Sus scrofa: one gene and its partners. The protein of the gene in region 7 interacts with the protein of the main gene of each other region in a pairwise test. Links are inferred from orthologs where the notes say so. Each region holds a gene or a part of one and is shown on either strand. Other genes may lie near its edges. The genes, in order: SMC4, OLFM1, SPTBN1, FGFR1OP2, DMD, IMMT and TRAF3IP1.

The links.
Region 1: the proteins of TRAF3IP1 (region 7) and SMC4 interact in a two-hybrid assay, tested with the Homo sapiens proteins (2 studies listed by BioGRID and IntAct). The link is inferred for Sus scrofa from reciprocal best matches to the Homo sapiens genes TRAF3IP1 and SMC4.
Region 2: the proteins of TRAF3IP1 (region 7) and OLFM1 interact in a two-hybrid assay, tested with the Homo sapiens proteins (2 studies listed by BioGRID and IntAct). The link is inferred for Sus scrofa from reciprocal best matches to the Homo sapiens genes TRAF3IP1 and OLFM1.
Region 3: the proteins of TRAF3IP1 (region 7) and SPTBN1 interact in a two-hybrid assay, tested with the Homo sapiens proteins (2 studies listed by BioGRID and IntAct). The link is inferred for Sus scrofa from reciprocal best matches to the Homo sapiens genes TRAF3IP1 and SPTBN1.
Region 4: the proteins of TRAF3IP1 (region 7) and FGFR1OP2 interact in a two-hybrid assay, tested with the Homo sapiens proteins (2 studies listed by IntAct). The link is inferred for Sus scrofa from reciprocal best matches to the Homo sapiens genes TRAF3IP1 and FGFR1OP2.
Region 5: the proteins of TRAF3IP1 (region 7) and DMD interact in a two-hybrid assay, tested with the Homo sapiens proteins (2 studies listed by BioGRID and IntAct). The link is inferred for Sus scrofa from reciprocal best matches to the Homo sapiens genes TRAF3IP1 and DMD.
Region 6: the proteins of TRAF3IP1 (region 7) and IMMT interact in a two-hybrid assay, tested with the Homo sapiens proteins (2 studies listed by BioGRID and IntAct). The link is inferred for Sus scrofa from reciprocal best matches to the Homo sapiens genes TRAF3IP1 and IMMT.

Annotation. Positions count from the first base shown.
Region 1 is NC_010455.5:100,112,713-100,116,212, reverse strand, and holds part of SMC4 (structural maintenance of chromosomes protein 4), read right to left. Parts: intron 2,189-3,500; coding exon 2,044-2,188; intron 1,774-2,043; coding exon 1,600-1,773; intron 1,169-1,599; coding exon 986-1,168; intron 836-985; coding exon 603-835; intron 87-602; coding exon 1-86. UniProt on the Homo sapiens protein: Central component of the condensin complex, a complex required for conversion of interphase chromatin into mitotic-like condense chromosomes.
Region 2 is NC_010443.5:274,253,241-274,256,740, reverse strand, and holds part of OLFM1 (noelin), read right to left. Parts: intron 3,411-3,500; coding exon 3,304-3,410; intron 1-3,303. UniProt on the Homo sapiens protein: Contributes to the regulation of axonal growth in the embryonic and adult central nervous system by inhibiting interactions between RTN4R and LINGO1. Inhibits RTN4R-mediated axon growth cone collapse.
Region 3 is NC_010445.4:86,620,317-86,623,816, forward strand, and holds part of SPTBN1 (spectrin beta chain, non-erythrocytic 1), read right to left. Parts: intron 3,285-3,500; coding exon 2,528-3,284; intron 1,712-2,527; coding exon 1,509-1,711; intron 1-1,508. UniProt on the Homo sapiens protein: Fodrin, which seems to be involved in secretion, interacts with calmodulin in a calcium-dependent manner and is thus candidate for the calcium-dependent movement of the cytoskeleton at the membrane.
Region 4 is NC_010447.5:46,796,807-46,799,995, forward strand, and holds part of FGFR1OP2 (FGFR1 oncogene partner 2), read right to left. Parts: intron 1,239-3,189; coding exon 1,125-1,238; intron 1-1,124. UniProt on the Homo sapiens protein: May be involved in wound healing pathway.
Region 5 is NC_010461.5:29,647,928-29,652,039, forward strand, and holds the start of DMD (dystrophin), read right to left. Parts: upstream 2,801-4,112; 5' UTR 2,642-2,800; coding exon 2,560-2,641; intron 1-2,559. UniProt on the Homo sapiens protein: Anchors the extracellular matrix to the cytoskeleton via F-actin. Ligand for dystroglycan.
Region 6 is NC_010445.4:58,573,772-58,577,979, reverse strand, and holds the start of IMMT (MICOS complex subunit MIC60), read right to left. Parts: upstream 2,801-4,208; 5' UTR 2,658-2,800; coding exon 2,613-2,657; intron 1-2,612. UniProt on the Homo sapiens protein: Component of the MICOS complex, a large protein complex of the mitochondrial inner membrane that plays crucial roles in the maintenance of crista junctions, inner membrane architecture, and formation of contact sites to the outer membrane.
Region 7 is NC_010457.5:137,866,612-137,870,111, forward strand, and holds part of TRAF3IP1 (TRAF3-interacting protein 1), read left to right. Parts: intron 1-651; coding exon 652-720; intron 721-1,133; coding exon 1,134-1,295; intron 1,296-2,887; coding exon 2,888-3,031; intron 3,032-3,127; coding exon 3,128-3,499; intron 3,500-3,500.

The DNA of each region.
Region 1 (3,500 bases), on a different chromosome or scaffold from region 7:
CAAATACTAAAGCCAATGAACTAAGCGTTTTTTCTCCTCCTGAAAGGTTGAAGATCTTCTTCCAACTTTTTTTAGGTGGTCGAACACTGAAATAATGAAGAAAATCTCTTGTCAAATTACGTGTAAAGCTGAAGTTATTAAGACTGATTTGTTTCTGGTAACTGGCTGCTTCTTTGAGAATCTCTAATTTGCTTTTCACAAATCTAAACTCTTTGAAGGTTATTTTATAAAAATGTTATTGGAGGATGAATAGGAACACCTACCAAAAATTTACGATTTAAACAGTATGCCAATAGGCAGTTTTTACTATCTTCCCTTGTTTTCAATGCAATTATTACTTTGAAATTTTAAAATTCTGATCTTAAATTGAAATGGCTCAAAAAGTAAAAGATGAAGTAAACAAATATTCTGTAAAATCAAGTATTTACTGTTTTACAGGGTTTAAGCTATCAATTGCCAATAATGTAAGCAAACTGGTATTTATCAGATAAAACAAGTTATAGATCTAACCTTCACATCCCACCCCTAAAAAACACTGTTTGGAGAATATGTAGAGATGTAACCGAAGGATCCACAACTCAGTATACAGCATAATTACAAACCTGAACATGATTCCTTCAGCAAAAGGATCCAAGCTGTCTACAAGCTCCAGTTCAGCATCGCCTCCCAAAGTAAGCATCTGGTAATTTTCCTTTAATTTATTTGTTATTATATAAAAACCTGCCATGAATTCATTAAGCCTTTGTTTCCGAAGATCTTCATACGCCTGTCTAAAATTATCTCTTTCATAAGTAATTTTGTCCAATTCTGCTACCCGTTGTAAATATAACTCTTCCTATGAAGAGAATATTATTATGAGAAAAACATCCAGTTACACATTTGAGATGAGAATTAATGCTGCTAATTATATAAAATTAAAGCCCACAATTTAGGCTAAGGAATAAACAGATTTTCTGACCATTACACATGAATAGCTCATTTGTACCTTCTTTTTATACTCTACAATGGCACCAAGGTTTGGTTTCATTTCATGACACTGGGCTTCCAAAAGTGCAATTTGATTTGTTATAGAATCTGGGTTCTTGATTGCTTCAAGATCCTCTGGAGTTAGAACTGCAATCTCTTCAACAGGATTATCTTCTATGGGATGCAATGATATTTTTGAAATCTAAAAAGTTTAATTTAGTTGAGTGTTAGGAAACCACAGTGTATTTCATTGTTAAAAAAAATCCCCAAATGAATATGATAAATTACCTATAAATTACAATGGTGTATTCTAAGGAGTGGTGACTAATTTGTAGATCAACACTTTTACAAAGGACTTAAAGAAAAATTGTGGTAGTGTTCCCAAGTGTTCTTGTAACTTTCTGTTAACTCTCCATATCAGCCCTGGGGTGAAAATGTTGACTAATTCATCATTACTCATACTTTTCCATATATAATAACAACTTTGTATTGTTCATTATGTCACCTATAAACCTGAGAAGTGATTATATGTATCATGGAATCACAACATACCTTAAAAACACACAAAAAACCCCAACCCTTTTTCATAAAGGCTATTTTAAAGTTAAAATTAACTAATAGTAACAAGCTCACCTCTTTTTGCCAATATTTTATTTTAGAATTATGTTCACCAATGTGACCATCTATTTGTTCAAGTTTCAACTTAATACTAAGTGCATCTTTTTGAAGAGCATGTTCATTTTCTTGAATTACTTTTAATTCTTGAAGTAGGCTACGATGTTCTTTCTGGATCTCGGGTAAGGACTCCTAAAAATCAATAATAGCTGCTATAGATATGATCTTTCCAAATAGAACAGGGATTTTCACATTACAAAAATGAAGCAGTTAGCAATCTCTCCCTATGCCCTTTCCGTTTTAAGTGTTTTTATTTAAATAAAAGTTACAATATAGCACTCATTTTTATTGTACATATAAAAGTTAATATAGTTATAAGTTCTAACCTGAGTGCTTACTATGCAAGATACTGATGTCTATTAACTCCTAATTGCTTCAAATACTGTTCTCTCCCCCACTTACCTCTGCAGCATTTGTATTCTTTATGACTTCTGCTGCTTTGTCCTCAAGACTTTTTAGCTCTGTCGTTAAGTCATCTACTTCTTTCTCAGTATCTTTTATTTCTTTCTCTGTGCGAAAGACAGAGTCTTGTGCTTTTTTGAGATTTCTAAACAAGCAAAATGATATATTAAAATTGTGGTAGGGTTTAACTTGTTATTCTGCTTCTGTCATGAAGTGTCAACAACACTTCATGACATTAATGCAACATCTTTTTCTATCATAGATTTTAAAATTGATTTGCTAAAATCCTTCAATTAGTTCTTAAATGTTTATACAAACATTTGTGGGATGTTGTATATTTTATTAAACTCAGTATAAATTAATGAAATTTTTTTTTTTTTTTTTTTTTTGGTCTTTTTGCCTTTTCTAGGGCCACTCTCGCAGCATATGGAGGTTCCCAGGCTAGGGGTTGAATCAGAGCTGTAGCCGCCGGCCTACACTACAGCCACAGCAACGCAGGATCCGAGCCGCGTCTGCAATGTACACCACAGCTCACAGCAATGCCGGATCCTTAACCCACTGAGCGAGGCCAGGGATCGAACCCACAACCTCATGGTTCCTAGTCAGATTCGTTAACCACTGAGTCACGACAGGAACTCCGAAACTTCTTATATAAGCCTTTATATATCATCTGATCTTAGACTATGAAGCAAAGTTGTCTCACTCAATTATTTTATTTTTGTCATTTCCTTGTCTGATTGAGATTCTTACATCTTTACACCCATGAAGCTATTACCTTCAAATAAACAAACACCTCTTGGATCAAGTCAGTGGAAACAAGTGCTTCCAAGGGCAAGGGGCAGGAGCAGGGGGATGGATATGGAAGGATGATTGGGACCACAACATTCTCTCTCTCACACACACACACCTGACTATATTTTCTCTTAATAAAGTTACAATTACTTTGCTAACTATGTTTAGGCAAAACCAAAAGGCTTATTATTTATTAGCACCTTACCGCTGAACAAAAGACACAGCAATAACTGAATAACCAAAGAATCAATTTGCAGCCAATGTTATAATTTTAAGACAAAAAATTGTCTTAAAATGTTTGGATGTTTGTTTACATCCAAACATTTTATATACAGACTTAGCTTTATTTCAGAAACACTTTTATAAACAAGATCTAAGAATATTAAAAAAAATTGAGACAATGGAATAATCTGGATAATTAAAAATTTAAATTACAGCAATTTTGCTAAGAGAGCTCATCCTTATTCTCTTAAGACCTAGATTTATTTAAATGATTTATACCTACTCCTCTAAGCCAGAGATACAAAACTTTGACTTCCATATCCTCACAACTGAGGAGTTATAGAATCACACTTTGCTAAAGCATACCTGCTTTATCAGTTTTAAACTGGTCAGAATGCTTTTTATATATGTCCACCTATTAAAATCCTATTAGGTAATAACAT
Region 2 (3,500 bases), on a different chromosome or scaffold from region 7:
GGTGCAGGGCAGGGCACGGGGCCCCCACCTTCCACGGTGAGGCAGGGACACGGCTGAGAAAGGTGCAGTGGGGTGGGGGCGCTGGCTGAGCCACTGGCTGTGTCTGGTCTGCTGTGGCAGGACGTGACATCCCCAGCAGGAGGTGACCCCGGGGAGCTGGGGCAAAGGGCAAAGGGCTCCGAAGGGAGCAAGAGGGGTGGGGAGACTCCCCTGGGGAGGAGGGTCCAAAGGGGGCGGGGTCGGCAGCCCCCAGACAGCCCCTGCGACGACGGAGAGACGGCTAGAAGGGGCGCTGGCATTTCCTGAGCCGCGCGGGCTCTGGGCTGACCGCTGACCGCACGGGACAGTGCGGCTGCCCGTTTGGGAGCACTTGCCCTTCGGGAAGCGGGATTCGGAGGATCTGTATACCCCGGGTGGATGGCTGGACACTGTTTAGACGACAGGGAAGGACTTTTAAACATGCAGCTAAGCTCACTGCTGTTTGTGCAATGGCAGGGTTTTTGTGATGAGATGGCCTCCTTGGAACAGGGCCAGAGGCCGGCCGGTCCCCTCACTAAGGACTGATGTGAGCCATCCCGGGACTTCGAGGCCAGTAAGAGGATGGTAAAGCCGGCCCCCAGGAGGGTCACAGTCAGAGGTCTTGGGGTTCTGCACCCGGGAACTGGGTCCCTGGAACACACGTGGTCTCCCAGCAGGGGGGCATAGCCGGGCACGAGGACCGGGCTTCTGGAGCCCTGGGGCCCTCGGAAGCACGTGGCCCGGTCACCGTGGTGAGAAGGCTGCTTCCGGACCGGGTAGAAGACCGCCAGAGCCCAGCACAGAGCCTGGCACACAGCTGGTGCTTAGGGAAAGAGCTGGCTTGGTTCTCACAGCTCCGCACAAAGGCAGGGGGACGCGAAGGCCCCTTCAGGGGCTCCCTGACCAGGGAGCCCAAGGCATTCCCCGACACCCCACCCCACCCTCGCGGGCCCCAACCTCTTCGCTTGTTCCTGGGAGCCTCTGGCCCTGAAGCTGACATTGATTTCTGTTTTTGGAGGGAGTTACTGGTCTCCAGCGTGTGTGATCAAAATGGGTTGGAAGACTGGAAAAGACCAAAAGGAAACAAAGCAGCGCCTTTCCAGACCAACGGTGGGGCCTGCGGACGTGTCCCCTGCAGGCTGCGAGCTGGCAGCTGTGCAGAGCTCCTGGCTTGGGGCAGGGCTGCCAACTGCCCAAAGCTTGGGAGCGGACCCCCACGGCCCCCTGCCGGCCAGCGGCTCCCCTCCCTCCGTGCCCAGGCCCTCCGGCCGCCCTCCGGCTCCGCCCTCCCGCTCCCCCGGCATCCGCCTCGTCCATCACAAGGGCCCCTTTCCCTGAAGGTGATCAAGTCATCAAGCAGAAGAGAGACGTCTAATTTCCAAACGCATCCATCACCGCCTCGCCGCCTCGCAAACCCACATCCACGCGGCCCGGGGGCTTCTGGGAGCCCTGCTGCTTGGTGTCCGAGAAAAGGCAATTTGAAGAGCACTCACGACAACAAAGGGAAGTGACGTTGGATGGGGGACCCAGCGGTGCCTCTGGTGTCGAGTCAGGCGTGGAGGGTCCTCCAGCCTGGGGCTCGTCCCAGCTGTACCAGGCTCAGTGGTTCCAGCTCTCAGGTCCCAGCAGCCTGCTGGGTTTGTGCAGGGGGGCGGGTGGGGTGGGGGCACGAGGCAGGGGGAGGGTAATCGAGAGGGGCCTCAGCTCAGAACATCCACGGCTAATCAATGGCCTGTGGCTAATAAATAAAACCATTGTCCAGCCTTTGCAAGATCTTGGGCGGGTCACGTGGCCCTCCTGAGCCTGGCTTTTCTCATCGGCAGAGCGGAGACCACTGTGACCCGCTGGCTGGAGGGCGGCTGCGGGACCAAAGCAGGACGGGTAGACAGGACACCCCGGAACCCCCCAGGCCCCGCCGTCGCGGTCTGGTTCTCCCAGCCCAGTTACTGTAATTATCACCCATGGCTGCGGCGAGAGCAGGTGCCTGATCAAACGCGGGACAGAGTGGGGCTTTCCACGGGGACAGCACTGAACGGTGGCTGGGGTAACCACGGGCCAGTTCCATTGGAAACTGGCCATGCACTGGTCATTCATGGGCCAATTAAATTGTTAGAAAATGCCCAAGCACCAGCTAGCTGCCACAATTCCGAAAACAAAACAGAAAGGAACTTCAGCCCCCAAATACCTGCCCCTAGCTGTAGCCGGGGTCTGCAGCCTTCTGGACACTGCTGGCAAAACCAGGCACAGGCTCCAGGAAGAAGCTCAGGCCTGCCCGGGGTCGGGGGAGGTGCGGGGGGCCCCCTCCCGCCGGAAGTTGTCGGATAAAGGCAGATGCACAGGCCACTAGACAGCCCGACTCGGTCCCCCCCAGAAGGAGACAGTGTGCCAGAGACAGGTGCCCCTTCCTGTTCTAGACAGAAGCCGTCAGGCTGCCGGAAGGGCGGGAAGGGGTGGGGGAGGTACAGGCCAGAAAGCTCCAGGTCCCTTCCTACTAAAGGTCCTCCAGACGCCGCTCCGGGGATCTCAAATGTCTAAGCTCCTTTCTCATCGGCCGTTTTTAATGTTTATTTTCTAAACGTCCTGCCAGCAAGGGGCTGGAAAAGAAAGGCTCTGGACGGCTGGGTGCCAGCGGTAGGTGGGTGGGTCACCAGGGATGGCGCTGCCCGCCACTCCTCTCTTCCGCTGAGACCCAGAAGCTGGGCGTGTGGCACTCCCCTCTGGTGAAACGCTCCCCAAGGATGCTAGCCAGCCGCCTGTCCCCACACCCCAGAGGGACTCCAACCACAGAACCCAGCGCCCCGCTTCCTCATCCAGATACAACACTCGTCTCTCTCTCTTTCAGAGTTTTTACCCCAGGGGGAAACGTCTAGAAAAAAAAGAACGTGGCTTTTTTCCTAAATCAAAAAAGAACATGCGTTTCCATCAGCCATGAAAGGAATGGCAAATGAAACCCAAATGAGAAGTCATTAAAACAAGAGGGCCTAGCGGCGCGGGGGCAGGGCCGCCAGCCTCTGAAGGCTTCGGCCTAGAGGCGCCTCCGAGCCCCCAGGGAGAGAGCCCTGCCTGCGGGGGCGCGTCGCAGCCCACAGCCCCCATCACTGCCACTGTCCACTGCATGTGGAACCCCGCCCTGGGTCTGTGACTCTGGGTTGGCACAGGAAAATTCAGCCAGGGACCTGGGCCGCTCCCCAAAGTCCCCGGAACACCCCCCAGGGCCACCAAGCTTTGTCCCCCAGGACGGTCCAAACCCGACCCATACCTGGGCCTGAGGAAGAAGGCACTTACCCTGTTGTCACCTTCTGGGGCCAGAGGATCCGTCATCCAAGACCCAAACCTGGAGCCGGACGTCTTGACGGTCACGGGGTCGCTTATGCCCGTCAGCTTGCCACATGCTGGAAGAGAGGGCACGGCACGGAGGTGAGTGTCTTGGCCCGACCCCCACCTCTCCCTCGGCTGCTGCTCCTGCCCTGCTCGTCCCAGGG
Region 3 (3,500 bases), on a different chromosome or scaffold from region 7:
AGGGCAAAAGGAAGGTTAGGCCACAACTGAGAGCTGCTGAAATGCTCTCTCATATCCAGGAGTCTCCGGTCCTGACAACACCACCTGTTCCCAACAAGCCCTTGCAGCTGCAGCACCGAGGGACAGATAAACAAACCGAGGAAGCTGCCAGGCAGCTGCATGCCGGCCTCAACACACGTGTCCCCAACGGCCCAGCCTGCCCCCAGGAAACTGGCTGTGTGCACCTAACACCGAGGGATGTGGGGTACCTTGTTTACAAAACAACAAGAGATTTAACATTAGGAGAAAAAGAAATTCTTTTCTCCAGGTGAAGAATGTCCTGCCCAATCCTTGTTTCTCACACTCAGTATGAAGGGTTTGGTAAAGAGATTTTTTTTTTTTTCTTTTTTGGAGCTCTTTTAAAAACAATGGATGCAAGACTATAATTAATATACCTCATACCCTATTCCATAGTACTACCCTTAGAGCACAAGGTTTAGGATCTGAATCGGAGCAGAAGACAGACTGCCTAAAGCCAGGAACTCAATCCTTACGGGGAAAGAGGAATGAATTCCCCTCTCCACTGTGTATCACAAAAAGCTCATCTGGCTCAGGGTCCCAGGAGACCCTCTTGGATGTGGTTAAGTAAGGAATTGCTCTCTGCAAGAAGTTCTTCCTCTTCACTGCACTTGGAGGCCAGAGAAGCCTTGGGGAAGAGCTTGTTTCTCGATGACATCAGTCTCACAATGAGACCTTAAATCCGGCCTAAACTGGGATCAGAAATCAGCTGGAACAGAGACTAGTGGCTGACCCAGATAAGCCACACTCAGACAAGAAGTGGTGGGCTCAAAACCAGCCCAGGCCGGTGCATCCAAGTCAGATCTGCCCAGATCTCCTACTTTAATGGTAACCAAGGCCAAGTGAGAGGGTAAGGGGCTAACAGAGAACACTGGCCTTCAGTTAAGGAGAAAAATCTTTTTAGAGCTGCAAAGAAATAAAATAAAAGCATCTAATCTTAGAGAGACTCCAGTAGAAGGCGGAAAGGGTCTTTGCTCTTATTATGAAAAAGATCCCATTACAGCACTGTCCAAGCCAATTTTCTAAGGCCTGATGATGTTCCTTTGTGGCTCAGCCAGGACAAGCAAACCTTGCTCTCTCCCCACTTCCTCCTGAAGGGCCTCAGAAGAGGCACGTGTGGATAAAGCTGAGTGTGGGCTTGGCTGGGGAAGCGCTTGGCTCTTGAGGTCCTACTGGGTGACATGTTGTGTGTCACTTCTCAAAGCGCACAGCTTACACCACACGGCTGCTCATGTCACACGCCTTAAGGTTAAGGATTGGTTCTATTTCTCAGGCTTTCTTTTCCCGAGTAGATTAAATTTTGCTAGGTGCCCAAATCCTGCCCAATGGGGAATTTATAACCACAGCCCCAAGGACACTGACCAGTGATTCAGACATGTGACTTGAGCCAATGATTCCGACGCAGGAGAGTCCCAGGTTGCAAGAAGCCCTTAAGGACCTCAGGACCATACCTGTCATCGATGGAGTCCACCTTCTCTTGGATGCGATCCGAGTTGATGTTCCCATCGCTCACCAGCCTGCGGCCGGTCTCCACGACTGCATTGATCTTCTCCTCGTTGGCATCCATGGTGGTCATGAAGTCCTCTTGTTTTTTAATAGCTGCTTCAGCCCCTTCCAAGGTGGTGGGCATCTCAGTATGGGCCAAGACATACTCCTTATTTAAAAAGGAAAAAACACAATAGCAGCAGGATGAGAACTCGAACTACAACTCGATTTCAGAATAACAAAAGCGCTCTTTCCTACGTCCTACATTTCCATGCAACATGTCCTTCATTACACTTAAATGAAGTTATCTACGGAGTCAGATAACATAAAGCTGGGAAGGAGAAGAATCCCAGAGGATTAAAAGTGACTGAAATTTCCCTAAGTGGTTAATGGCTCTAAATTTTTTTCCCAAAATGAGTGAGGGACATACACAAAGGCTTGTGCAGTAGCCACAAGGGTCGGCTGGTGTGCCTGTAAGGCAAGAGTGACAGACCTTCAGTCCAAAGCTTTTAAGAGCGATTATCAACCCGATGCTGGTGACCACCCTCAGCTCTTTTTCTTTAATCCCTGCCTTGTGTCACTGGGGGAAGTCCCTGACTCTTAGAACAAGGAAGACAGAACCATTCAGAAAAAAGAAAAAAGAAATCCCCACTGTACCTTTTAGATTAATTAGATTGGATTAATATCCCACAGAATGTTGCCTAAAAATCTAATAAGCTACCAAAAGGACACTCTGTGAACACAAGAGGTCCTCGTCCAGGCTGGAGGAGAACGGTACTTTGCAAGGCAAGACTGCCCCTTTGGAAAACTTCGACTCTATCTCCTACATTGTGATGGGTTTCAGTGCTTTAGAAGTCATGAAATAACAAATGCCTCTTATTTTTCTAATTTCACAGAGGCCAGGTTTAAACCAGCAGCCCAGGTGGGAATGCTTCCAAAGACAGCCGGGGCTATGGGAAGGCAGGTCAGGCAGAGAGGGAGTTACCTGGTTGTTGAGAAAGGCTTCAGCCTGCTTGGTGTCCCGCAGGAACTGCTGGTGGGCGTGGGACTGGGAAAGGAGGTTCTGTCTGTTCTCCCACATCTTGTGGAGCTCATTCCACCCGGTGTCCAGGGCCTGCAGCCGCTGCCGCAGAAACATGTACTGGGCGTCGGTCTGGCCCTGCGTGACCATCTCACCCATGTCCCTCATCTTCTGGTAGTCCTCCTCGTAGTTGTCGATCTCGTTTTTGATGTTCTCATGCTGTGTGAGGAGCTTCTCGGCTTCGGTCAGGGTGTTGGGCATGTCCTCCGAGGCGATGGCCGTCTGGGTCCTGGAGAGCCAGGACTGGAAGTCGTCCAGGTCCCGCAGGAACTGCTGCAGCTTGCTGGCCTCTCCCAGGGAGGCCTCGCGGTTCCTCAGCGTGGTTTTCATCTCCTCCCACACGTCGCTGATCTCGGCCAGCCGAGACAGGATGGCCTGGGCCTGGTCGGGGTGCTCGGACTCCAGCTTCTCAGCCTCCTTCTGCAGGTCGCTCAGCTTCGCCTCGATGGCCACCAGGTCCCGCTCCATGCCGGTCAGCTTGCGCTGCAAGGCCATGACGCCAGCCAGGTCATTGCCCAGGTCCTGGGTGGATTCGATGACCTTGGTCTTTTCCCGGATCCAGGACTTGGTTTCATTGCACTCGAGGTGGTAGTTCTGGATGCTCAGGGCGGAGAGGAGTGCATCCTTCTTCCGGTCCACCAGCTCCCTGAACTGACTCCACCTGTGGGTGCAGGGGTGGTGGAAAAAGCAGCGTGAGAGAGGCCAGAAGCTCACGGCTGGACAATGAAATTGACAGTGACAGTCAAAGCTGGGATTTCCCCTCTCCACCTCTGCTTTGACTACATCCTTTGGGAAAATCACCTCTCTCAGTATATGGACACCAAGTATCAACAAAACAGCTCAGGGGACACCATATGGTCTGGAAAAATAAAACCCT
Region 4 (3,189 bases), on a different chromosome or scaffold from region 7:
TAAAATAACTTTTATAATATATTCTCTAGTGCTTTGTCTTTGGTCTTACTTTCGAGGCGTCAAAGGTATAAAACAGGGATTGGCATACTATGGCCTGGCTTGAGGCCTGTTATTGTAAACTAAACTTTAACGGAACACAGTTGAGTCCAATCCTATTCTTGTGGGTCTGGCTGCTTTTGTGTTACCATGGCAGAGTTGAGGAGCTGCAACAGAGACTGCCTGGTTCGCAAAGCTTAAGAGACTTAACTGTTTGCTACTGTACAGCACAGGCAACTGTATTTAATAGCCTGTGATAAACCATAAAGGAAAATAGTACGAAGAAGAATGTATATATATGTATAATTGAATCAATTTGCTATACAGTAGAAATTAACATAACATTGTAAATCAACTCTACTTTCATAAGATAAATTTTAAAAAAAAGATTTACTATCTGGCTTTTTACTGAAAAAGTTTCCTTACTTTTGTTATGAAGAATAAGAGAACATTATATGCTTAGAAAAGTCACATTTGGCCTTCTGTAACCAATTTCTCCACTATGATTTCAAAATGAAGCTTTTATTTTTATTATTATTGTCTTTTTAGGGCTGCACCTGCAGCATATGGAAGTTCCCAGGCTAGGGGTTGAATCAGAGCTACAGCTGCTGGCCTATACCACAGCCACAGCAACGAGGGATCTGAGCCGTGTCTGTGACCTAAACCACAGATCACAGCAATGCCAGACCCTTAACCCACTGAGCGAGGCCAGGGATTGAACCTGCATCCTCATCCTCATCCTTCGTTACTGGCAAGCCATGATGAGAATTCTAACATTTTTTTTTTTTAATTACTAAAATGAAGAAGTATATTCACTTAAGAACAGAAGCAACACAGGATTTAAAAAATCAATTTTCTCAATTACTAGTTTGTTTACTACTGATCCCAGACTTGCATTACTATATAAATGGTATTGCATTATATAACCATATAAGTAATATCCAAATTAAGAAAAAGAACATTACCAGTATCCCAGAAAGTATGTATTTAAAACTGGGATAAATAAAATAAGATAAAAATGGGATATATTTTCTGGCATAAATCTTTGTACAGACAGTTTTCACCTACATTTGCAATTTAAAACTTACTTCGAGTTGTAATATTCGTTCCTGTTCCTTGCAACCCTGCTGCTCATCGATTTCAATGGCTTTCCTCATTACTGCTGCCATTTCAGTTATCTGGTCAACATGTGCTTGTAATTCCTAAAAAAAAAAAAAAGAGAGAGAGAGAGATGGAAGTTGTCAATCAGTGAAATACTTGATTATTTTTATTTTTGGATCTCCTCTTTTTTTTCTTTTCAGGGCCACACCTGCAGCATATGGAGGTTCCCAGACTAGGGATCAAATCAGAGCTACAGCTGCCGGCCTACGCCACAGACACAGCAACACCAGATTGCAGCCGAGTCTTCGACCTACACCACAGCTCACCCACGGCAATGCCAGATTCTTAACCCACTGAGCGAGGCCAGGGAGCGAACCTGCGTCCTCATGGATACTAGTCAGATTTATTTCCGCTGATCCAAGGGGACACCCTAGATCCTCTCCTTTTTATAAAACCTGCATTGCTACTTAATATAAACATACTATCTTTACCTTGTCATTTAACATAAATGTAATATATCAAACAGATATTTATAAGAAAGTTGACTGACCATATATGTGTTTTTGAAATCAGATTTCTGTTGGGACTAGGATTAAGGATAAGCAGCACAATATAACTAAATCCATTAACAAGAAGAATATTCATATTTCATAGTTCTCTCACTGCAAATGATCAGCAAACTTTTCTGGGGGGAACTTACATACCCCAATGTCAAAGTAATGTGAAAGATAAACATTTAATCCCTCTTTTACAAATACTTTCTGTATTATCCATACCTAGAAATTGATCTCAACTCTATCTAGAATCTTTCTAAATTATAATCCTCCTCGAGAACAGGAACTGTGTACTGTTTATATTTGCTTATTATTTAATGTTAGGTACATAATAGATAATAAACATCAAGTGAAATGAAGAGAGTTCTGTTTTTAAGTATTAAAATAATAAATGACCTTCTTGCAAACTGTTCAAAATATAATTTTAGTACAGACATCCGCATTTGTTTGGCAGAGCAAGCAGCATAAGTTTCTTCCCATGTCATTATTTTACTCTTTCTATGCATACCTATAATGTGCCAGGCAAGTGTTAGGCAAAAAGAATACAAAGCCTGTTAAGGAATGTTCCCTGATTTCAAGGCGCTGAGAGTCAATGAAAGAGACAGATAAAAGACTTAAAATAAACAGAAACATGATTTTTTAAAAAATGAACTTATATATAGCCCACTGCTCACTGGCATTGAGGGTTATTTTGTTATAGTAAGGCCAAAACCAAAATATAAACGTTAATAGCTCCCCAGATAAACACTAAGTCGTATATACTCTATTTGTAAAAAGGACTTGAACAAGACCCCTCAAAACTACAAAACTAGTAAACTATGGAAGCAATATCTTAGAGAACAATCAAGAGTATCTTTAATAAACCATACATTTAATATCTTCTTAAGCAACAAAATATAGATTGTTATATTAATTTTCACACAACCTCTACAACGCTAGTACACAGAAGAAAGCAAAATAAAAGAACTATGCTGTTCAGTATGGTGTAAAATTACTTAAAAGTCAGGGAGTTCCCACTGTGGCTCAGCAGAAATGAATCCAACTAGTATCCATTAGGATGCAGGTTTGATCCTTTGCGCTGCTCAGTGGGTTAAGGGTCTGGCATTTCTGTGAGCTATGGTGTAGGTCACAGATGCACCTTGGATTTGGCATTGCTGTGCCTGTGGTATAGGCTGGCAGCTGTAGTTCGGATTCGACCTCTAGCCTGGGAACTTCCATAAGCTGCAGGTGTGGCCCTAAAAACAAAAAAGTCAAATACCTTTTAAGAAATTAACAATGTAGTCCCTCAGCTGCATCAAGTGACACTTCAAGTGCTCAAGAGCCACATGTGGCTAGTAGATTCCATACTGAATAGCATAAATAAAGAATATTTCCATCACTGCAGAAAGTTCTGTTGGACAGCTCTGGATTAGAGCTCTGGATTAGATTATGGTAGCAAGAATGATACCAAGACAAACATCTGTCATATTTTGTAAGTTTTTTTTTTTTTTGGCCATTT
Region 5 (4,112 bases), on a different chromosome or scaffold from region 7:
AAACCCACAATCTCATGCTTCCTAGTTGGATTCATTAACCACTAAGCCATGACGGGAACTCCCAGATAGCTGATTTTTATACCAGAGTGAAAGTTCTGATTGGGGCTAGCCATTCATTTTCTAACAGTTTTTATCCAAGGCATAGAACTCCCATGATTATCGAGGTCATGTATGGAAAGATTAACTACGTACAAGTATTGTCCTTGTTGAAGATGAGTTAAGCATAAGCAGTTGTGAGAGGAAAAATTAAGAGATACTCAAAGTACCACACTATTAAGACTTTTCAAATGATGAATCAAGAACACCTGTATAAAAATCCATGTAATAAAGTATGACTATTTATTAAATTTTTATTTTAATTATCTTTGTATCTTCAATTTTTATGAGTTATACTTTTTAACAGTGTAAGAAACAATATTCAATAGTGCCACTGAAAACAATCATTTTATGTAGTTTATTTTTATAACCTTTGAGGCATTGTAAAATTTACCTTGTCATTTAACTAGGTCTAGGAAAGACTAATATGTGAGAGAAAGTCAGGGGGAGGGGTGGTAGCGGGGAGAATTATTTATTACCATATAACAGGTTCTTAGGTTTGCTTTTTTTTGGCATTACTGTTAGTCCCACCACATTATTTTTTTTCCTGTGCATAGAAATTGGCTACAAAAAGCATTTATTAATAGCAGATGCCCCTTGTGCTTCAGAATTAAAAACAAAATCAAAACCTATAAAAAAATACAGAAAATACGGGTTTCATGAAGGTACAGAAACTAAAATATTCAAAGCAATTTTTTTTTTTATTTAATGGGCTCTAAACCCTTAAAGGTAAGGGCTTATCAAAAAGAAAAAGGTGGGTTGTGAAAATAAAGTAACCTGTTGGACTTACCTACCACTCACCCCATGGGGAGTCTCAGTTCTAATAAAAGCTTAATTTCACAAATGTAAACAGCAACAACAACAACAAAATTCCATTTTAAAGTGACTCAAAAGTAATATCTGATGTGGAATTCAAAGTTATAGAAAGGTCAAATTTTCCTTAGAGATGGATTTAAACTAACCATTTCCACAACACAGGAACCCACACAAACCTAGTATTAAAAATAAATTTGGAGATCTTTTTCTCCTTTTCTCATGCATTGTCAAATGTAGAAGTAGCACAATATAAAAATACTTTGTAGAATTCTTAAATTAACACACTTTACCCAAAATAATACCCTGTTACAGATTTATAGTAAATGCCCTTCTGCATATTTCAGATGATAGCTACAAGGAACTTGTCTAATAAACTGTATAAACAATAGCAATTTTAAAGCTATATATGAAACTATCCAATGTATCTTTTCAAATTGCTATTTTAAGGTAATTACTTAAAACCAATTCTCTCATCCTATGTGTTGAATGAGAAGGGCATTCCATTTAGGAAAGTTTACCCTATTTCCCTTTAAAATCAGAGAAACATGTTAAGTAATGGCATGAGGAAAAGAAGATAAGAGAGATGTTAAAATTGGATACAACTATTCCTCCCAGGCATTGTCAGAGGTACCATTCTTTTTTGACTTAGGGGCACCATTACTTGCATATACAAGTTTACTCCTTGTGAAAAGAAATCCTGCTCTGAACTCCTTTTGGGGAGTTTATAACCAATTTTTGTTTCTTACTCATTTTTGTTTGCTTTCTACTGTGATATTTTCTTTAATTTCTTATCAGAAATACACTTGCACATTAACTTTATGCCTTTGTCTTCTTCAACATTCAACACAATTTTGCTGTCCACAATTTGGTGCATTTCCAAGGGTGAGAGGAAGGGATTCAAGCAGCTGAAACTTCATCCTTTGGTAAAGCTTAACAGCTGCTTCCATTTACAGCTTTAAAGACCTATCCTAGTTTACAAGTGTTTGCACATGTAGGCCAGACTACCAAATACTTGAAGATTCTTTACAAATGAAAGGGCACTGTGGTAACCTGCAAAAACCTTAGACTTTTTATTCCTGCTTCTTTACTGGTTTTCAACTCCTATAGTTATGCTCTGGGCACGCAAACCTTCCTGCCCTGCCCTTCTGACATTTTCCTACAAGTGAGGTGAAACTTCTCAGATTTCTTAACTCAGCACTTGGCCACACCCTGACCAGCAGGCCTTCCCACACCTCCCCACCCCTCTCTCCTCAAAGGCTATTACTACGACAATATTTCTTTTAAATTAGTCTGCTTATTCTTTTACATTTTTAAAATACGTTACCATCCTATAATAAAACCAATATCCCGAGGCTTTCTTGAAAAAAAAAAAAAGAGAGAGAGAGAGAGAAAGAAATTCGCCCACCAGTATCTACCTGACCCAAAAGAAAAACGTGAGTTTCGGCTTTTTCGAGGAGCGGCGCCCCCTCCTCCCTCGGACCCACCCTCCCAAGCTCGGGGGCGTAGTGATTGTCCCCTGCTGCTCCTTCACTCCTCGCCACAACAACTTTCCGAAACCCTGTACTAACTTCTAGGGCACAGCCTCTGCAGAGAGGAGCCGCAACGCTCGACACCCCCACGCTAAAAAGCAAAACAGCAAGGTCCTACCAGCGCGGCTCCTGATGACGTCGGTGAATCCATCTCCAGCGGCATCTTCCCCTGACTGCTCCGGACCCCTTGGCTGAGCCATAGCCACACGCCACGTGCCCTGGCTCTCCCACGCCCCAAACTTTGGAGGCAGGTGGGTCCGCGCGGTCTGCCTGATGCTCTCCAAAGCAGGTAGCGCGCTGGAGATCCGGTGTATGAGGGTGGATTTATCACCTTCCTGGGTCCTCACCCACGGAAATAGGGATGCGTGGGGGTGGGTGGGGTGGAGTGGGGCGGCGGGAAGGGATGGTGAGCTGGAAAACACACAAACACCAACACCTGGCTTGGTGGAAAGAGGGGGCGGTTAAAATGCCCAGCTCATGCTTGAGAAGAGGAAACAGGTGCGATTCCCACTTCCTGCCCCCAAAATAGAGTGGGCGAGGACTGGAAGGTGAAAGCTGAGGAGGGACCCGATGGTCAATAAATACACCAGCAAGTTGGAGACTCGCTTTTCCACGCTGCGCAGAATCGATGCAAAAACAGGAGCAATTAGGGAATCGCTTGCCAAAAGCAGCACATGAGGTCATGAATGATTTAGCATTGCCACTTATAAGATGACTACACTGAAGAGAAGGGTCACTGGCTTTAGCTATCTGGGTCACTCACACGTGTGTACCCCACCATCGTTGTATCCTGACTCTAATGCACTGACAAGAAGTGGGGAATACAGGCTGAGCATAATCATATTTCTTAGGAGATTTCTCCAAAGCTACCCACCCTTCTTTCTGTGTGTAATCACTCTCCCTCCTCCATCCCTTCCTCCCACCACTGAAGCTAGAATTAGATTGGACTATAAACAGCTCGTATGACATTATTTTCTAAAAATTTCAGAAGCTACTTTCATTTGGTTAGTAACCTTACTCCTCCCCCCTACCCCTACACATATATAGTTCATCCTGCATTTCTTCCTGCAGAAGCTCAGTCACCCCAAATCCTGCCCATCACCTACCAAAGACAAATTAACTTTACAAGAAGAGCTTGGCAAGGGGCCTAGCAACAGCTAAGGATTTTCTTTTCCTGTTTTCCTCTGCATTTTCATCCAGAGTAGATTCTTAGCCTCTTCTAAAGCAGGGTTCTCTACCATTGCTAGACAGTGGAATCATCTGGGGAACTTTACAAACCACTAAGGCCTGGTTTCCACTCCCAGAAATGATGATTAATTGTGCTGGACTCTCACCTGGGCATTAACAGTGTGAAAAGCTCTCCAGTTATTCCAATATGCAATCAAGTTTGAAAAACATTGTGATAAAGGGACTTACAGACAGACAATCGGGTGCCTTCATAAAGGCAATTTTATCAGTAACCCTCTTCCATTTCCATTATATTGCCTTAGGTTAAAAACATAATATATTTGCTGTCGTGTTTTCTATCCCCAGATTGGCCTTTTGCATAGCAGTGGATAATTTATGTTGACAAAAATGTTATGCTTCACTCCAAAATTTCCTTAAACATAGAACAACTCTCAGGATGGAGCCTCAACCAGGTATTTCTCAATTAGCATCAGCCTGAGATGT
Region 6 (4,208 bases), on a different chromosome or scaffold from region 7:
AATGGTGGGTGCCAGGCGGAGGGGTAGGCAAGTGACAAACAGACGGAGCACAGAGGATTTTTAGGACAGTGGAAAATACTCTGTATGATACAAGATGATGGATAAATGATTCGCCCATGTTGTCATACATTTGTCTAAAAGAATGAATGTGCAACATCAAAGGTGAATGCTGGGATTCCCACCATGGCACAGTAGGTTAAGGATTGGTGTTGCAACAGCTCTGGATGCAGCTGCAGCTCAGATTCGATCCCCGGCCTGGGAACTTCCACATGCCATGGGTGCAGCCAAAAAAAAGGTGGGAGGGGGAATGCTAATGTCAACTATGGACATCAGAGAATCATATGGTAGTGTATGTTCATCGATTGTAAAAATTTAACACTCTACTGAGGGGTGTTAATACTGGGAAGGCTATACATGTGTGGGGACACAGGATATGTGGTAAATTCCCTCCATTTTGCTAAAACTGCTCTAAAAAAATAAGGTCTTAATTTAAGAGAGAGAAAGAGCTAGGGAGAGGGGGAGAAGGGGGAAGAGAGTTCCTTGGGATACTTGGGTTCCCAGGGGTACAAGAAAAAGCAGACTCAACAAAGGAAAATGAAAAAGATGAAGGGTAACCTGGGACCCAAGATACTACATGAGAAAAGGGAAAAGAGCGAAAAGAGTTTCACAAAATAACACATCAAACACCATGGAATGAACGAGAAGATAAGAATAAACCAATGAATTTTACAAGACAGAAATTTTAGGAAGGTAAGAAATCTTGGTTGTAGGCTAGAAATGGATTCATATTTTAGTAGTAAGTTTTGACCAGTTTTCTTCTAATTTCCTAAATGGAATCCCATTAAGTTTTTAGAAAATATTTTGATAAAGGCAAGGAAGGAAAAAGTAATTTTGGACTTTACTGCAGACAGTGACAATGTAACCTGAGGGCAAAATAATGAAGAGAGTGCCATGAAAGGAGGGCTCCAGAGACAAACTTCTACAGTCCCGCCCCAAAAGGCAGCTCTGCATCCTGCCCCCTCCTAGCCCAACTGGGGCATCACAACAGGGCCAGACTCTCATATGGCCGCCATGATCTCTGCCCCCTGCAGTTAAGCCCATGATCCGAGGTTGTATGGCAAAAGGAGTATCAGAGATATAATTCAGGTTACTAATCAGATGACCTGAATTTAATCAGAAGGGGGTGATCCAGGTGGGCCTGGCCTAATCCTATAAACCCTTTAAATCTGGGTCTGAGGGGGAGTTCCCATCGTGGCTCAGTGGAAAGAAATCTAACTAGTATCCATGAGGACGCAGGTTCGATGCCGGGCCTTGCTCAGTGGGTTAAGGATCCAGTGTTACCATGATCTGTGGTGTAGGTTGCAGATGCAGCTTGCTGCAGCTCCGAATTAAACCCACTTAAACCCCGGAGGTGTGGGGTGGGAGGGAACAAAGACTTGAGCCCTACAACCACAACAAACTACAATTCTGCCAACAAACTACAAGAGCTTGGAAGAGAACCCTTAGCTCCAAATGAGAACCACAGTGGGGACAATACCATAGCAGAGAACCCCATTCATGTCCAGAAACGGTTTTGTTTTAAGCTGCTCAATATGTGGCATTTGTTATATAGCAATAGAAAACCAACACACACCCCACTTTCCTATGGAAGAGGCTGCTTCTCTTACCCTTAAAATGAAAGGGAAATAAGAAAACTTGAAAGAAAAAATTAAGTTTGATTTTTATGATTTCTAACTCACTATGTCTAGGGATTTTGCTCAATTGCATGAGTCACAGTACCTGTTTTGCAACATCACATTTTGCCAAAATACCAATTTTCTTTAATTGTGAGCAGTGGGAATAGGTTTACCTTTTTTATTTTTAATTTTAGCAAATTACTTTGACAATCATGCAGAAATAAAAGGAACTGGGTTTCTAACCTCCTTGAATGTGTGCCAAAGTTGTCCCAGCACCTGGAGACACAGGCTAATCTCAGAAATGAGCACAAGGTCATGTCGCCTAACCTTCCTTGAGCACCAAGAGTTCGAGCTCCATAAACTACAACCTTTCATTTTTGTTCAGAGAACGAAGAGCTCAAGAGGTGTTCTCAGCTACAAAAAGAAGGGCAATCCCTCCTCCGTGATAATTACAACCTTGACCCCTAAAACGCGGACTCCAGCAGTCCAAGAACGGCCTTACTAAGATGCAATAAGACAAGGCTGTGCGTATCCTGCTGGGAAGTGTAGTTTTTCCCTGTCGACCTTCAACCACCGACTGTGCGAAACCTATCACGCGCCCAACCGGCGACCCGAGCGCCAGTAGCCTCGATTGGTCCTAGACTGGGGCAGCGCAGGGCTGATTGGATGGCACGTCCCCTAGGCCGTGCCTCCCGTCCTATGCCCGCCTCCCCGCCACCTTCTCCTCATGCCCCATCCCGCTCAGCAATAACCCTCAAGTCATCCCAGTCTGGCAAACTCCCGAATTAACTGCTTCACGGGCCCACCCGACACTCTCGCGATAAAGGCGGCCCTGAGACACGCCTTTGTCCCCGGGCCTAGGCAGAGACAAAGCCTCCCCCACTTTCAGTAGGTTGCCCGTCACCACACACTCTCTTCCGGCGCCCTGATCCTTACCTGGGCGGTGGAGGTCACGCCGGATAAATGACAGGCCCGCAGCATCTCGGCGCGGCGGACGGCGCTGCGGGTCTAAGTGAGAGCAGGGGCGGCGGCGGCGCGAGAAGGGGAGACCGTGCGCGCGCGCAAGCGTGCTTGCGTCCGTGCCGCCTGTCCGCGCCCTGCGTACCGGAAGGGCAGCCACCGCCACTGCGCATGCGCAACCTCCTGTTGCCCCTGTCCAAGCCCCTCCGAGAGGCTGGGCTCTGTCGGGACGGAAAGGGCGCTTTCTCTTTCCGGGTTGCGCTTCGGGTTCTGGTCTGTAGCGGGAAGCCCAGGGTACTAGGTGAACTGAACCGGTTGGAGGACGTCGGAAACTGGGGCTTCGGTTCCTGCGAAAACTGAGCAGGTGTGATTCTTCGGAGAATTCTAGCAGGAAAGTGGCTCAGCCTTTTCCGTCGGCTGGATATTTCGTAGAAAGGAATGGATTTGCCCAAAGTTACGTAAACGACGGTAGTGTCTCGGTTTCCGCGTTTGTTTTGTTTGACAGTCCTTCAGGGAGTCATGCTTTTGAGAGGCTGGGTGAGAGAACACTGAGGAGACCTTTGTGCAAAATTATTTGTTCATGTATCTAATAAATAGCAGAGAAGGGATAGGGACCCTGATTCTTCAGGTTCCACAGTCTCTACTCCTTCCATATTAAACCACACTGCTTTCTCCACCAAGTTTGTATTTTAAAAAGATAATTTTGGCCACAATCTGTGAGATGAAGTCAGTGCAGAAACACTGTTCAAAGCATTCCACCGATTCTGTAATCACGGAAACATATGTTAAATATTGAACACTATTCAATACTATTAGTACTAGTAATGATCTTATCACAATATCATAGAAACTAAATAACTTATCTATTGCGTGTGTAAGGTACTTCAAGTCTTAACTAGATAGTTCATTGTAGTTCTCCCTAGCGGTAGACAACGCTACTGAATCCCATTTGTAAAGAAGTGACTTTGAAAATTATCTAAGGAGTTCCCGTTGGGGCGCAGCGGAAACGAATCCAACTAGGAACCATGAGGTTGCGGGTTCAATTCCTGGCCTCAGTGGGTTCAGGATCCGGCGTTGCTGTGAGCTGCGGTGTAGATCACAGACTGGGATCTGGCGTTGGTATGGCTCTGGTAGCTACAGCTCCCATTAGACCCTTAGCCTGGGAACCTCCATATGCCACCAATGCAGCCCTAAAAGTCCAAAAAACAGAAAAATAAAATTATCTAAAATCAAATGATTACTTATGTTTGTATAGGTTTACTGCTTTTCCGAATAATTTTGTAATTACATTATACTTGATATTTCACATTGCCATCACTTAGCCTCAAGAGCAGTCGCCCACTTTTTTTTTTTTTTAGTAATTTTAACAATTAAACGGCAGCCCTGCCAGCCCATCCCTGCCCACTGCTCTCATGCTAGCTGACGCCAGTGTGATGACTTTTCTAACACCTTGGCCATAAACCTCTCAATGTCAATGAACATCTCCTCCAGCCATGTATGGCACAGCGTTGGGCCTCAATATCATTAGCAACTTTTCCATCTTCAAGATTTCAAACTCCAAAATTAATTTCT
Region 7 (3,500 bases):
GAGCACCCCCGTCCCTGGAAGGGAGTGACGGTGATGAGGAGAAACCCCCCCTGGGAGTTCTCCTTTCCAAACTTCATCCTCCTTCCTGTCCTGAGGGACCCTCATAAGAGGCTGTTCCTGCTGTGGGACCTCTCAGGGCTGCCTGGTGGTCCTTAGGCTAAGGCCGTGCTCCTGAATGGCTTTGCAGGCCAGCCCCTGCCGACTCCCTGGCCTCAGGCTCCTCCTGTCCGCACAGTTCTGGTCCTTTGAGCAGGACCCTCTTGGCCCTGGACCTTGTGGGCCTGTTTCTTTTGTCCGGCACGTGCTTCCTTGTACCTCTCCCCCGGTTCCCTGTAAGCTTCTGGGCTCAGTTTCGATGTGAGTGGCTGGGAAAGTGTGTCCTGACACCACGGGGCCCTCCTGCTCGTGGATCGGGGGTGAGCCTGTGCTCCCTGGGGGTCCCTAGCCAGGCTGAGCTCTGGGAGGACCGGGTGGGCTTCTGCCTGCGGTGTGGCCTCGCCGTGGCAGACACGCAGGTGTCTGTCGAGGAAGTGTGTCAACAACCTCCTGCGCGTGGACGGGTTCTGGCAGCCCTTTGCTCAGGGCAGTGGGGGAGGCTGATGGACGGGCTGTCCCGAGGGTGCTGACCAAGGCCTCACCTTCTCTCTGAAGGTGATTCGGATGACCGGTTTCATGAAGGGCCTCTACACGGATGCGGAGATGAAGTCCGACAACGTTAAGGTAGGTCCGAGGGGCTCTCCTGGCCCCGCCTGCGTGAACGCGGCTCTTGTGAGCCGGGCGCTGCGCCAGCTCTCGCTTCCGTGCTGACCTGTGGCTGGACCGCCAGGCTGGTCCCTCCCGGGGTCGCCCTTGCTCTTCCTCGTTTCGTGGTCTCCCTGGCAGCGAATTTTATCCTCGAGAGATGGCATTAGTCTTCTAAAGGTTCATGCCAGCCCATCAACCCAAACGCAGAGCTTTCTTGGACTTCGGTTCCTGGTTGTTGTTGTTGTAGAGAGTCAGTATCTCTAAACTGGACGTACATCTGAAAATCGCTTTTTATCTAAACCGGAACCGTGTCTGTTGAATGTACTGAAGGTAGCGTACCCTCCTCTTCAGGTGTTGTAATATTTGCCTTTTATATGGAAATCTTGCAGGATAAAGATGCAAAAATTAGCTTCCTCCAGAAGGCCATAGACGTGGTGGTGCTGGTCTCCGGAGAGCCGCTGTCGGCGAAACCGGCCCGGATCGTGGCCGGGCACGAGCCTGAGAAAACCAACGAGCTTCTCCAGAGACTCGGAAAGTGCTGTCTCAGCAAGGTGCCCCCTGCCCGCCCCCTCGGAGTGGGAACCCACCGGCGGGAGGAGGGCAGACCCCAGACGGGAGGGCAGACCGCACGGTGGGAGGTGTTCCGGGGGAGGAGCTCCAGGCCGGCTCGGAACCTGACCCTGCCCGGAGTCACAGAAGTAGTTTAAAACCGCAGGGTGTTCCTGTGAGCTCTGTGGCCGGGAGTGTAAGGCAGGGACTTGGGCGCTTTGGGCGGGGCACACGTGGCTGGAGGCCCTGGGTGCCTCCTCCTTTGGGGCCTCCTTTCAGGGCAGGTGACTGTTTCCAGCCAGGACCCGGGTGGCCGAGGAGCTGCTTTTCTTTGCCTTGGGGCCTTGTGGAAGGTCCCTGTTCCCTGCCTCCTCTGGGGTCTGCCTCCCTCGGCCCCGCCCTCTCCTCCAGGGCGTTTGCAGAGCTGTGCCGCCTCTCTAGAACCTCTCTCACTTGTGCAGGGGCTGGATTGGTTACTCCTGAGATTTTCTCCATGGGCTAGAGTCTTGGCTTCTCTGGCCTCATGGTACCCCAGCACCCCTGGAGCAGGTCATCCCCAAGGCCTGCCTTCTTTGGGGGAGCTGAGGAGCCCCCGGGGAGCGGCCATGGCCCTTTCTCGCGGAGCTGATGGGCTGCAGGGGGGGCTGACCTTCGATGTCCCCAGGGTGGGGAAGGCGGCTCTCGGCTCACACAGCAGCGTGGGAGTGGGAGGGGGCTCAGGCTGGGTCCCAGGCCTGGGGACGCAGAAGCTGATTTTGCCCATTTGCTGGCCCCATCCTGGCCCCCATCCCAGGCCCTGTGCGTTGCCCGTCTCTGAAAGCACACCTGACTGGTGCTCCTCCCGCGTCCCCGCCCAGCTCCGTGGCCCCAGCTCCGTGGCCCAGCTCACGGAGCCCTTGAGACCTGCTGCTGCTTCCTCCCCGGTCCTTTGCTGTCACCCCTGTCCCGCCCAGCCGCGCTCCCACCACGCTGCTGAGCTCTCGGCTGGCGCTGCTGCAGCGGGCAGTGGGCAGCCGCGCGGGATTGGCCTGTCCACCCTCCCCCAGGCTGACTTGGCATCCTTGTCACAGTGCACTAACTTTTGACGGCTGTATTGGGCCCCTTGCCCATATGCCGTGTGTCCCCTGCCTGTGGTCGAGTCGCTCACGTGTGCGTGTGGAACCCGTGAGTGTGTGGGCGACGGGGTTCCCGGCCGCACAGGGTCAGGGACCAGGTGGCGGTCGAGCGTGGTTGTGCCCTGGCTGGGGCTCGGGTTAGAGGGCTCCGTAGGGGCCTTTCAGGGCCGGGCCTCTGTGACCCGAGCCAGGGGGAAGGCGCTGCTGGGCCGCGTGGACCGGCGTCCGTGCCCTTGAGCAGCACGTGTCCGCTCTTGGCCGCTCGGGTGGAACGGAGCCGGCCTCGCGGAGCGCGGTGGCCTCTGCGGTGAGCGGGCAGAGCGCCCGAGGGCACGGCTGGGGCCGAGGCAGCACGTTGTCGGCAGAACCTCTCCTTTTAACGTCCGTCCCTGGCGGGCTGCTCTGCACGTCGACATTGGGGTGTGTTCCGCTCACGGATGTCGTTGTCACCTTGCGTCTTGTTCCTCCCGCGGGGTAAGCTCTCCAGTGAGGACGCCGTGAAGAGAGTGTTGGCCGGAGAGAAGGGGGACGTGAAAGGAAGGCCCTCGCTGGCGGCGAACCCTCGAGGAACGGATCATAAGAGCATGAGGGACGGAGAGTCCGGGGTCCCCAGAGGTAAAGAGGTGAGTGCAGGTGGTACGTCTGGACCTGAGCCCGTGGGGCCTTTTGTGGTCCAGGTAAATACAGCAGCGGCAGCGCTACTTGGCCTTTCTTTTCAGGAGAGGAGAAGAAACTCGGAAGTCACCGCGGGAAGTACAAGCCGAGAGAGGAACCAGAAAGAAGAGCTGAGAGAAGAGAGCCCGCCGCGGGACAAGGAGCGGGACAAGGAGAAGGCCAAGGAGCGGGAGCGGGACAGACGTAAAGAGCCCGCGAGAGACACGGCCGGCGGAGGGGAGCGCGAGCGGGCCAAGAATAGGCCCAGGCCCGGCCGGGACCGGGACGCGGAGCGGGAGCGGGAGCGGAAGGTCGAGGCGGGCAAGGAGAAGGAGCGGGGGAAAGGCCGCGAGCGGGAGCGGCGGAGGGCGAGAGACGGGGAGCACGCCCGGGACCCCGACAGGGAGAAGAGCCGCGAGCACGACAGGCCGGAGAAGG